2 linked regions of the Arabidopsis thaliana genome follow. Each later gene encodes a partner of the first gene's protein in a complex. Each region holds a gene or a part of one and is shown on either strand. Other genes may lie near its edges. A codon is read from its position in the direction of its gene.

Region 1 (5,898 bases):
CGTCACCACCGTGGCTGAATCAGTAGAAGAAGCTTTCCGTAAGCCTCCACCGTCTCTTCCAGCAGTTCACGGTGGTCGCCGGAATAATTACGCCGCCGTTCCCATTCCTCTTGTTGGATTCATGTGATGAGCTTCTTAGTTTTTTATTTTTTTTTGGTTTTGGCCTCATTAAAGTTAGTAGTTCCCGTGCCTTGTGGCGTTTTGGATATTGTTTATTTGTGTATAAAGTATAACCAAAACATAATGAAGAGTTTACAGATGAATCAAAACCGTGGACGTTTATATAATTCTTGTGTATTAACTGCTTTTAATTTTCTTTAAGATCTATTGAACAAATTAATCACAGATTTGAACGGTTTGCAACTTCAAAACATGTCCATTCTTTGCAAGGTACGTAAGATTGGAAAACATAATCAAAGTTATAGACGATTTTAGCAAAAAAGTTATAGACGAAAAGAAATAAGCACTTTTTATGGAGAAACAATTATACTCATAAATCATCTTGAGGTCATGAGGTGTGAAGTAAGTTAATTGGTTTCTTAAAAAAATATATATATATGTGTTAAACTCTTAGAACTGGATTTGATGTTCTTGAAACGAATTCAGGTCTCAGATGAAAAAAAAACAAAAAAATCATCGAATCTAAACTGGAATCGCTTTCATTTAAATCTTCTCAGGGTCCATAACCTCATGCTAATTAAAGTGGTCAACTAAGTTTTGTAGTTTGATTAGTTTTGTGAAACAATCTACTAGGATTAGCTGAAGTTGAAAAGTCAAACATATGGCAAAGTAATAGACGTATAAAAAGTGTGGCTCGTGAAACATATGAATGGAATTGATCAATGATCAACCATATAAAAAAAAACTTGGAAAACAGCTTAGGCCTTACAAACCATGTTTTCTTTCGTACATTCTTATATAACAAAATGTTGACTTTTTTATTGTGTCACTAACAAAATGTTGAAAATCAATATTTTTCAAGCAAACTTCTTAGCCAAAGAAAAAATACAGGCACCAAGATCTAACGGCCTTGAAATCGTGACCATATGATCAGAATTCTGGATATGCTCCACGTGGTTAGGAGGGTTGTTCTTGATCATCCAGTGCTGAAACTCTTTCACCAATAACGAAAATAGCCATATGAACCTTTTTGTAGAACAACTCCATGGCCTTAGGAATAGCAAGCCCCACTCAAACTATGTGCCAGAAGAATCACCTTCTCATCCTCACCTAGACTCTCCATTAGGCCCATCAAGGGCCCAATAGACTCCGCAACCAACCGTAGAGTCTCAGGCCGTTATTGATCGATTCTGGATGCCGCTAAGTTGACCGCAGTTACGTTATGGCCTTGAGATTTCAAGAATGGTATAGTTTATACCAAAAACCAAGCTCCATGAACCATCACAAAATGGGCCCGGCCATGTTGCGGGTTGTGGCGTGGCGGAGATAGGACGGTAGTATCGGCTGATCAATATAACAAGAATTGAGGTTAAGTAACTATTTGTTTTGCTCACCATTTTTTCTTTTCACTTTATTGCGAGCTTGTGATGAACGAATGTTCAAAACAATTATATAGTAGAAACTAAATAACGAGGTGTTGACATATTGAACAGTTAATATCACAAAAACATTATTTGATCATTCTTAAAAGTGATTATAAAAACAGATATACTAGTTGGAATCATTTTCTTAATTTAATCCTTTGAAAATTTTCTTCAAATACTATACTACTAAGAAAGTCTTTTTTCTTAACAAAAATTAAAATTTTCAACAATAAATATAGCCTACAGTATCAGCAATTTTACAAGAAAACGTTTTAATTTGTTTCACTGTTTTCCCAAAGAGTTCAAAACGCAAACGTCAAATAAAATTTGAAATATTCACAAATCACAACACTAAGCAAAAGAGTTTTTACTTTTTTTTTCCAGACTGTAAAAAATATTGGTCGTCCAAATTTCAACAATGGTAAAACTAAACTAAACTTGTAAAGACGTTGTCAACGACCTCTAATTCTAAATTAGCTACAATAGTTTGCTATTTTCGTACCCTTTAAACGTTAGTCTATATAAATTTTGTTATACCAAAAATAGCAAAACAATCCAATGGTTTCTGTTTGCCTTCGTTTCATTATAGGCTTCCTCTCCACAACATTCATCTATTAAGCAAGCCATAGAGCCATTTCCAAGTTTTTTCATCACCATGACCCGAAGAACAATGGAGAAGCCTTTTGGCTGCTTCCTTCTCCTCTTTTGTTTCACCATCTCCATTTTTTTCTATTCCGCAGCGGCTCTCACCGATGAGGAAGCTTCTTTTCTTACAAGACGCCAACTTTTGGCATTATCAGAAAACGGAGATCTTCCCGACGACATCGAGTACGAAGTCGATTTAGACCTCAAATTTGCTAATAACAGACTTAAAAGGGCTTACATTGCCCTTCAAGCTTGGAAAAAGGCATTCTACTCTGATCCGTTCAACACTGCGGCTAATTGGGTTGGTCCAGACGTGTGTTCTTACAAAGGAGTTTTCTGTGCACCAGCACTTGACGACCCAAGCGTATTGGTTGTGGCGGGGATTGACCTTAACCATGCGGATATAGCCGGATACTTGCCGCCTGAGCTAGGTTTATTGACCGATGTCGCCTTGTTTCACGTTAATTCCAACAGGTTTTGCGGAGTTATTCCGAAAAGTCTTTCGAAGCTAACGTTAATGTATGAATTCGACGTCAGCAATAACCGTTTCGTTGGTCCGTTTCCGACAGTTGCTCTTTCTTGGCCGTCTTTGAAATTCCTTGACATAAGATACAATGATTTTGAAGGGAAACTACCACCAGAGATCTTTGATAAAGATCTCGACGCCATCTTCTTGAACAACAATAGATTTGAGTCGACCATCCCCGAGACAATTGGTAAATCAACAGCTTCCGTTGTAACCTTCGCACACAATAAATTTAGCGGTTGCATCCCAAAAACCATTGGCCAGATGAAGAACCTCAACGAGATTGTGTTTATTGGGAACAACCTAAGTGGTTGCTTACCGAACGAAATCGGTTCGTTGAACAATGTGACTGTGTTTGATGCTAGCAGCAATGGGTTCGTCGGAAGTTTGCCATCGACCTTGTCGGGCTTAGCCAACGTGGAACAAATGGATTTCTCGTACAATAAGTTCACCGGATTTGTCACAGACAATATCTGCAAGTTGCCCAAATTGTCAAACTTCACATTTTCTTACAATTTCTTCAATGGAGAAGCTCAAAGTTGTGTGCCTGGATCGAGCCAAGAGAAACAGTTTGATGACACGAGCAATTGCTTACAGAACAGACCAAACCAGAAGTCGGCTAAAGAATGTTTGCCGGTGGTTAGCCGTCCTGTGGATTGCAGTAAAGACAAGTGTGCCGGTGGAGGTGGCGGTGGTTCAAACCCATCACCAAAACCAACACCAACACCAAAGGCACCGGAGCCTAAGAAAGAAATAAACCCACCAAACTTAGAAGAGCCATCTAAGCCAAAACCAGAAGAATCTCCCAAACCACAACAGCCTAGTCCAAAGCCTGAGACACCATCACATGAGCCTTCTAACCCAAAGGAACCTAAGCCAGAGTCACCAAAACAGGAATCTCCAAAAACGGAACAGCCAAAACCTAAGCCTGAGTCACCAAAACAAGAGTCGCCTAAGCAAGAGGCACCAAAACCAGAACAGCCAAAACCTAAGCCTGAGTCACCAAAACAAGAGTCGTCTAAGCAAGAGCCACCAAAACCAGAAGAATCTCCTAAACCGGAACCTCCAAAACCAGAGGAGTCACCTAAGCCTCAACCACCAAAGCAAGAGACACCAAAACCAGAGGAGTCACCTAAGCCTCAACCACCAAAGCAAGAGACACCAAAACCAGAGGAGTCACCTAAGCCTCAACCACCAAAGCAAGAGACCCCAAAACCAGAGGAGTCACCTAAGCCTCAACCACCAAAGCAAGAACAACCACCAAAGACAGAGGCACCAAAAATGGGGTCGCCTCCATTGGAATCACCGGTACCAAATGATCCTTACGATGCATCTCCGATTAAAAAACGTCGTCCTCAACCACCATCACCCTCGACAGAAGAGACAAAGACAACGTCGCCACAATCTCCTCCAGTACACTCTCCACCACCACCACCACCGGTTCATTCCCCACCGCCGCCTGTATTTTCACCTCCTCCTCCGATGCATTCTCCTCCACCACCGGTTTACTCACCACCACCTCCAGTACACTCTCCTCCACCACCACCAGTCCACTCTCCTCCACCACCAGTACATTCACCACCACCACCAGTCCATTCTCCTCCTCCACCGGTCCATTCACCACCACCACCAGTCCACTCTCCTCCTCCACCAGTCCACTCTCCTCCTCCACCGGTCCAGTCACCTCCACCACCACCAGTTTTCTCTCCACCACCGCCTGCACCAATCTACTCACCTCCTCCTCCACCAGTCCACTCCCCGCCTCCACCGGTCCACTCTCCACCACCGCCACCAGTCCACTCACCACCTCCTCCTGTTCACTCACCGCCTCCTCCAGTTCACTCCCCGCCGCCTCCAGTCCATTCTCCACCACCACCAGTCCACTCTCCACCACCTCCGTCACCTATCTACTCTCCTCCTCCTCCAGTTTTCTCACCGCCACCGAAACCTGTAACGCCTCTACCACCAGCAACATCGCCAATGGCAAACGCTCCAACACCTTCATCATCAGAATCAGGAGAAATCTCAACACCGGTTCAAGCTCCGACCCCAGACTCTGAGGACATCGAAGCACCATCAGATTCAAATCATTCACCAGTGTTCAAATCAAGTCCAGCTCCATCACCAGATTCCGAGCCAGAAGTTGAAGCACCAGTACCATCAAGCGAACCAGAAGTTGAAGCACCAAAACAATCAGAAGCCACCCCTTCGTCATCACCGCCATCTTCAAATCCATCACCAGATGTAACTGCACCACCATCGGAAGACAACGACGACGGCGATAATTTCATCCTCCCACCAAACATTGGACACCAATATGCATCGCCACCACCACCGATGTTCCCAGGCTACTGAACCATACATTTTTAATATTTTACATTTTGGTCCAACATTTTTCCGGTTAACGCAATTTGTAACAAACAAAAAAAAAGATACATTTATAATTTGACCATTTGTAATCTGTAAGTAGATGATTTTTAGAAGTGAATATTTTCAAAATTAACCATTAACATATCTGTAATTCTAAGTTTTATACTTTTATAGTGTAAATTCATCACATTCTTTGTGTCTACTTCTCTCAAAAATTGTCTTTTACAAAAATAAAAAAAAAATTGTTCAATGTTCAAAGTATAAATATCCATTCATATTTTCGCACTGTTTTTAATATCAACAGAAATTTTCAACTTTATTTTGACATCTTAGAAAAATCCTTAATTGAGAATTGAAATATTTTAGTTTATTTAGTGGTCAACGTCAACGTGACTTAGATCGTTGATTTATTTTTCGTTTTCCTTAAGCAAAAACCTATACTTTTATTTCTGGTCTTTATTGGCAACTATCACATTTTCAACTTTCAATATTTCGACTCATCAATCACCATCTTCGAATAGATATTTTCTTTGCCCGATGGGCTGATCGGAACAATCCTCTGAAAAAGGTACCAAAATGCTACTATGTAGACTAACATCAATACTTAGATGTTGGACTACTTTAACCTAAGCTTAAAATATTTTCCGACTAGTTAACCAAATCGTTTGTTCATATCATGGTCAAGTAACCAAATCGTTTGTTAATACTTAATATCATGGTCAAATAGGTTAATATCCAAAACGATTCCTTAGTTTGGAATAGAAGTACAGTAATAGGTAATAGCTAAACTCCATCTATGTTCAAGATTAAAAT
Region 2 (3,628 bases), on another chromosome or scaffold:
TAAAGATGATGTACTTATAATTTTAAAATTAACTGGTAGTAAATATATTGATATGTATGTATCATTTATATATTGGTTCATATCCCATTTGAATTCAAAATAGTGAAATTATTAACATTTTCCATGGTTTTTTCGGTGAATTATATTGTCTAGTCTATTTCGAATTGAATTTAATCTTAAATCCGCATCATTCTCTATTTTGGATCAATAATCTGATTTTATACTATGTGAACCAATTGACAATCAGTATATATGTTACCTCGCTTGACACATAACTAAATGAGATTAAAAATGTGGTCCCTTTTTTGTCAAAATTTAAAAATGTGGTCCTAAGTTTATATATAAATATAGTGTTATCGAATATGAATCACATATAAGTATATTTTGAAGAAAAAACAAAAAAAAACAATGTTTAAATTACACCAGTTAGTATGACTTTTATTAAAAATTGAAAGTACACTGTTTAATTTACATTGAAAGAAACATATGTTTATTAATATCTTGCAGAATGTTTTCAACTATATGATTGAATATTGATTAATAACTGCCAAGTAATACTCTATCATATCCTCGTAATGGGTGTAAATTAACATATCAATATACAAAGACTTTTTTACAACTTACAAAAACCATTTACATATCAATAACCAAAGATTTGTAAACAAAAAAAAAAAGATTTGTAAAAGGCCACGCCAAAAGAAAAAAAAAGTTATTGCAAAGGGTCAACACTAAATTACGTTGGGCCAGAAATTTTCATTCGTTATGCCTTAGAAGTAGCTCCTAAATTAGGTTAGTACACATATTGAGTGTTTTGTTGAGTTTTTTAAGCTAAGAGTCAGACATTGGAGCTCATGCAAAGATTTCCACATAAACGTGTGAAATTGTTGTTTTTATTTCTTTGGTGAATGTTCGTTTTCTTATCCGGATGTTGTTTATTTTGTCCACTCAAATTAAACATTTGATGAGTTTGGATATAATATCAATAGCATCCAAAAATAATGAGATTTTAAAAGAAGCCATCATCTTCTGCATATTTCTTCTGAAAACTCTCTAGTCACCTCCATACGTAAAACAGATAAAAATCTAAAAGAGTAAAACGAGAGGTAACTGGTGATGAGAACATAGTCTATCGTCCTCGAGGCCTATCATGAATATATTTGTAAATATATCTTGAAACACCACACCTAATCTTTATACTGTGGTTAACGTGGGATGTGCTAATGTAGTTTATGTCACTGTGTTGTAATACTACTTCACCGGCGCCATCTTTAACTATTTTCTTTGTTTTAAATTAAATGTTGTATTAACTTTCTTTTTTTCTAATATTGTTTTGTGATTTAATGAAATCTCTCATTTTCCCCTAATAAAATAGTACTAACAAACAAAAAATACAGTAACTATAATAGTATTACAAAATTCAGTCTAATTTTTTAGGATGTAATAAAACATTTTCAGCATGAAATGTGTAAGGTTGGATCATGCTGTTATACTACTCACTCCTAAGTTCTTTTGAAATTGGTTACAAAACTGATAATAGACTTTTACATGCTAAAATTGAGCATTTTAATATTTTTCAGAAGAAAAAAATAATAAGTTAGCCGATCAAAAAGCAGAGCCAGAAATAACTTGTAACAAATTTAGATCTAACCACCAAGCGGAAGAAATGGAGAAAATAGACCTAAAAAAGAGGTTAAAACCCCAATTTCAAAGTAACAGAATTAACGACCACAAAATAATAACAAGCAAAAAATCGCAACTGTCTTAAGCCTTTTTTTAATCCAACAAAACCAATCTCTCATTTGTTCTTCTGCATAATCTCTCACACACTTCTATTTCTCCCTCTCCTTGTCACAAGGAAAGGGCGTAGAAGAACCAAAACCTAAACAAAAGAGCAATAATAACTCATTAAAAAACCAAAACCAAAAAAAAACAAAATGGGTGTCAAAATGTTATTAATCTTTGGTCTCTTGATCTTAGCTATGGTAGCTAAATCCGTCAATGCAACCTACCCTTTAACCAAATCTTGCATCAACGGGCAAGGTTGCATCGGGGAAGACGATGAGCTCGAATCTCTAATGGATTCAGAGACAAACCGTCGTCAACTCGCAAGAGGACGTCGTTACATTGGCTACGATGCTCTCAAAAAGAACAATGTGCCTTGCAGTAGACGTGGCCGATCCTACTACGATTGCAAGAAGAGAAGAAGGAATAATCCTTACAGGCGTGGATGCAGTGCCATCACGCATTGCTATAGGTACGCTCGCTAAATGATAGAGAGGAAGAGATTTGATTCAACAACGTACGTTCGTATCTTCATTCTTCTTTCTTGATCGTTAATATTAATTGCCTCTCCTTACTTCCATCTTTTTTTTTTTTCATTCTTTCTTAACGTATCCTATGTTATACGTATGATCTATATATTCTTTTTTGTTCTTTATATAATCATCATGATGCATATAAGCTTTTGATTCATTGGTATATCACTTACTTTTCCTTTGTTGTTGTCCTTTTTTATTTCGTTTCGTTCATATAATTAAGTTCCGTTTTGTCTATTATATACATCATGATGTTTTAGTATTTTACAATTAAGCATTAATTTGTTTTAAGACGAGGGATCAAATGAGACCTATTTCTTCTTTTATATCTTCTTTTGTATTTTATCTCGAAACAAACGTTGCAGATTAAGTTGAGATTGTTAATGATGGATCCAACCCGATCGGAATAAGAAATCGAAAATATGTTAATGAAAGAAAGTCCCACATCGGAAGTTGGAGGAATTATGAAGTGATATATAAAGGGTTAGGGTCACTCCACCTATTGCCAATTGGTTTTAGGTTGGAAGCCGATATTTAAACCCAATTCTATCAAAATAATTTCTTATTTTATCAACAAAATGCCGCACTGTACCTTGGATTAAATGAGAAATAATTTGAGGTCTCTTGCTTAAATTTCCAAGTCGAGAGGAAGGTTTTGGGGTGTATCTACATGAAACTATGACTTAGATCAATCATATGATCACATGATTGATGTTTCACATCACAATGTTTTCAAGCCAGTACAGAATATTTTATTAGAGATAGATCAATTCTACTCCGTCCGTTATTTCTACAGTTACATATCAGAACACGAGTTTTTGACGGAATGACGTGTAATGAAACATGTGAACTAAACCAAAAAGTATAATATAATATTGAAATACTGAAAACTAAAAGTGAAACTTGATTTTGGATTGGAAAAGCCCAAGTCCGAGCCCAAATCACCCGCACCTTCATGGTTAGGAAAAGTGTTTTGGAGTTCAGTATAAGATCTCAAATCATCCTTAATTAAACTTCTTAGTTATAACTAAATAAATCGAGGAGTTTCATAACTAAGAATGTCCATGGATGATAATTTGGAACTGAAATGGGTGACAACATAATTTGGTTGGCTGGCATTAATAGTCACTTCTAGTTTAGTACTTCGACACTAAACTAACTTATAGAGTGGAGAATATTTATGCGGTCGCATTCAAAAGTCAAAAGAGCTTCAAGTTCATGGGGCAATAAAGAGAGCCCTAAGAAAACGTCTAATGTTCTTCACTGAGGCCCATCCTGTGTTCTGACTGATTTGCTTGCTGTGTTTTTTTTAC

What was found.
Region 2: the proteins of AT3G19020 (region 1) and RALFL4 are in contact, whole or in part, in a crystal structure (PDB 6QWN), measured with the Arabidopsis thaliana proteins. Residues at the interface, in NP_188532.2 of Arabidopsis thaliana: Phe109 (codon at 2,524), Cys110 (codon at 2,527), Ala111 (codon at 2,530), Pro112 (codon at 2,533), Leu114 (codon at 2,539), Val122 (codon at 2,563), Ala123 (codon at 2,566), Gly124 (codon at 2,569), Asp126 (codon at 2,575), Asn128 (codon at 2,581), His129 (codon at 2,584), Asp145 (codon at 2,632), Val146 (codon at 2,635), Ala147 (codon at 2,638), Leu148 (codon at 2,641), His150 (codon at 2,647), Asn152 (codon at 2,653), Ser153 (codon at 2,656), Leu169 (codon at 2,704), Tyr171 (codon at 2,710), Glu172 (codon at 2,713), Asp174 (codon at 2,719), Asn177 (codon at 2,728), Lys195 (codon at 2,782), Phe196 (codon at 2,785), Arg200 (codon at 2,797), Tyr201 (codon at 2,800), Asp218 (codon at 2,851), Ala219 (codon at 2,854), Phe221 (codon at 2,860); in NP_174148.1 of Arabidopsis thaliana: Tyr63 (codon at 2,121), Ile64 (codon at 2,124), Gly65 (codon at 2,127), Tyr66 (codon at 2,130), Ala68 (codon at 2,136), Leu69 (codon at 2,139), Lys70 (codon at 2,142), Lys71 (codon at 2,145), Asn72 (codon at 2,148), Asn73 (codon at 2,151), Val74 (codon at 2,154), Cys76 (codon at 2,160), Arg79 (codon at 2,169), Gly80 (codon at 2,172), Arg81 (codon at 2,175), Ser82 (codon at 2,178), Tyr83 (codon at 2,181), Tyr84 (codon at 2,184), Asn92 (codon at 2,208), Asn93 (codon at 2,211), Pro94 (codon at 2,214), Tyr95 (codon at 2,217), Arg97 (codon at 2,223), Ser100 (codon at 2,232), Ala101 (codon at 2,235), Ile102 (codon at 2,238), Thr103 (codon at 2,241).

What each region holds. Positions count from the first base shown.
Region 1 is NC_003074.8:6,558,346-6,564,243, reverse strand, and holds AT3G19020 (Leucine-rich repeat (LRR) family protein), read left to right. Parts: upstream 1-1,866; 5' UTR 1,867-2,199; coding exon 2,200-5,070; 3' UTR 5,071-5,280; downstream 5,281-5,898. Other genes in the region: AT3G19030 (transcription initiation factor TFIID subunit 1b-like protein), read left to right, coding at 1-127. UniProt on the Arabidopsis thaliana protein: Modulates cell morphogenesis by regulating cell wall formation and assembly, and/or growth polarization.
Region 2 is NC_003070.9:9,881,231-9,884,858, forward strand, and holds RALFL4 (ralf-like 4), read left to right. Parts: upstream 1-1,720; 5' UTR 1,721-1,934; coding exon 1,935-2,267; 3' UTR 2,268-2,959; downstream 2,960-3,628. UniProt on the Arabidopsis thaliana protein: Cell signaling peptide that may regulate plant stress, growth, and development.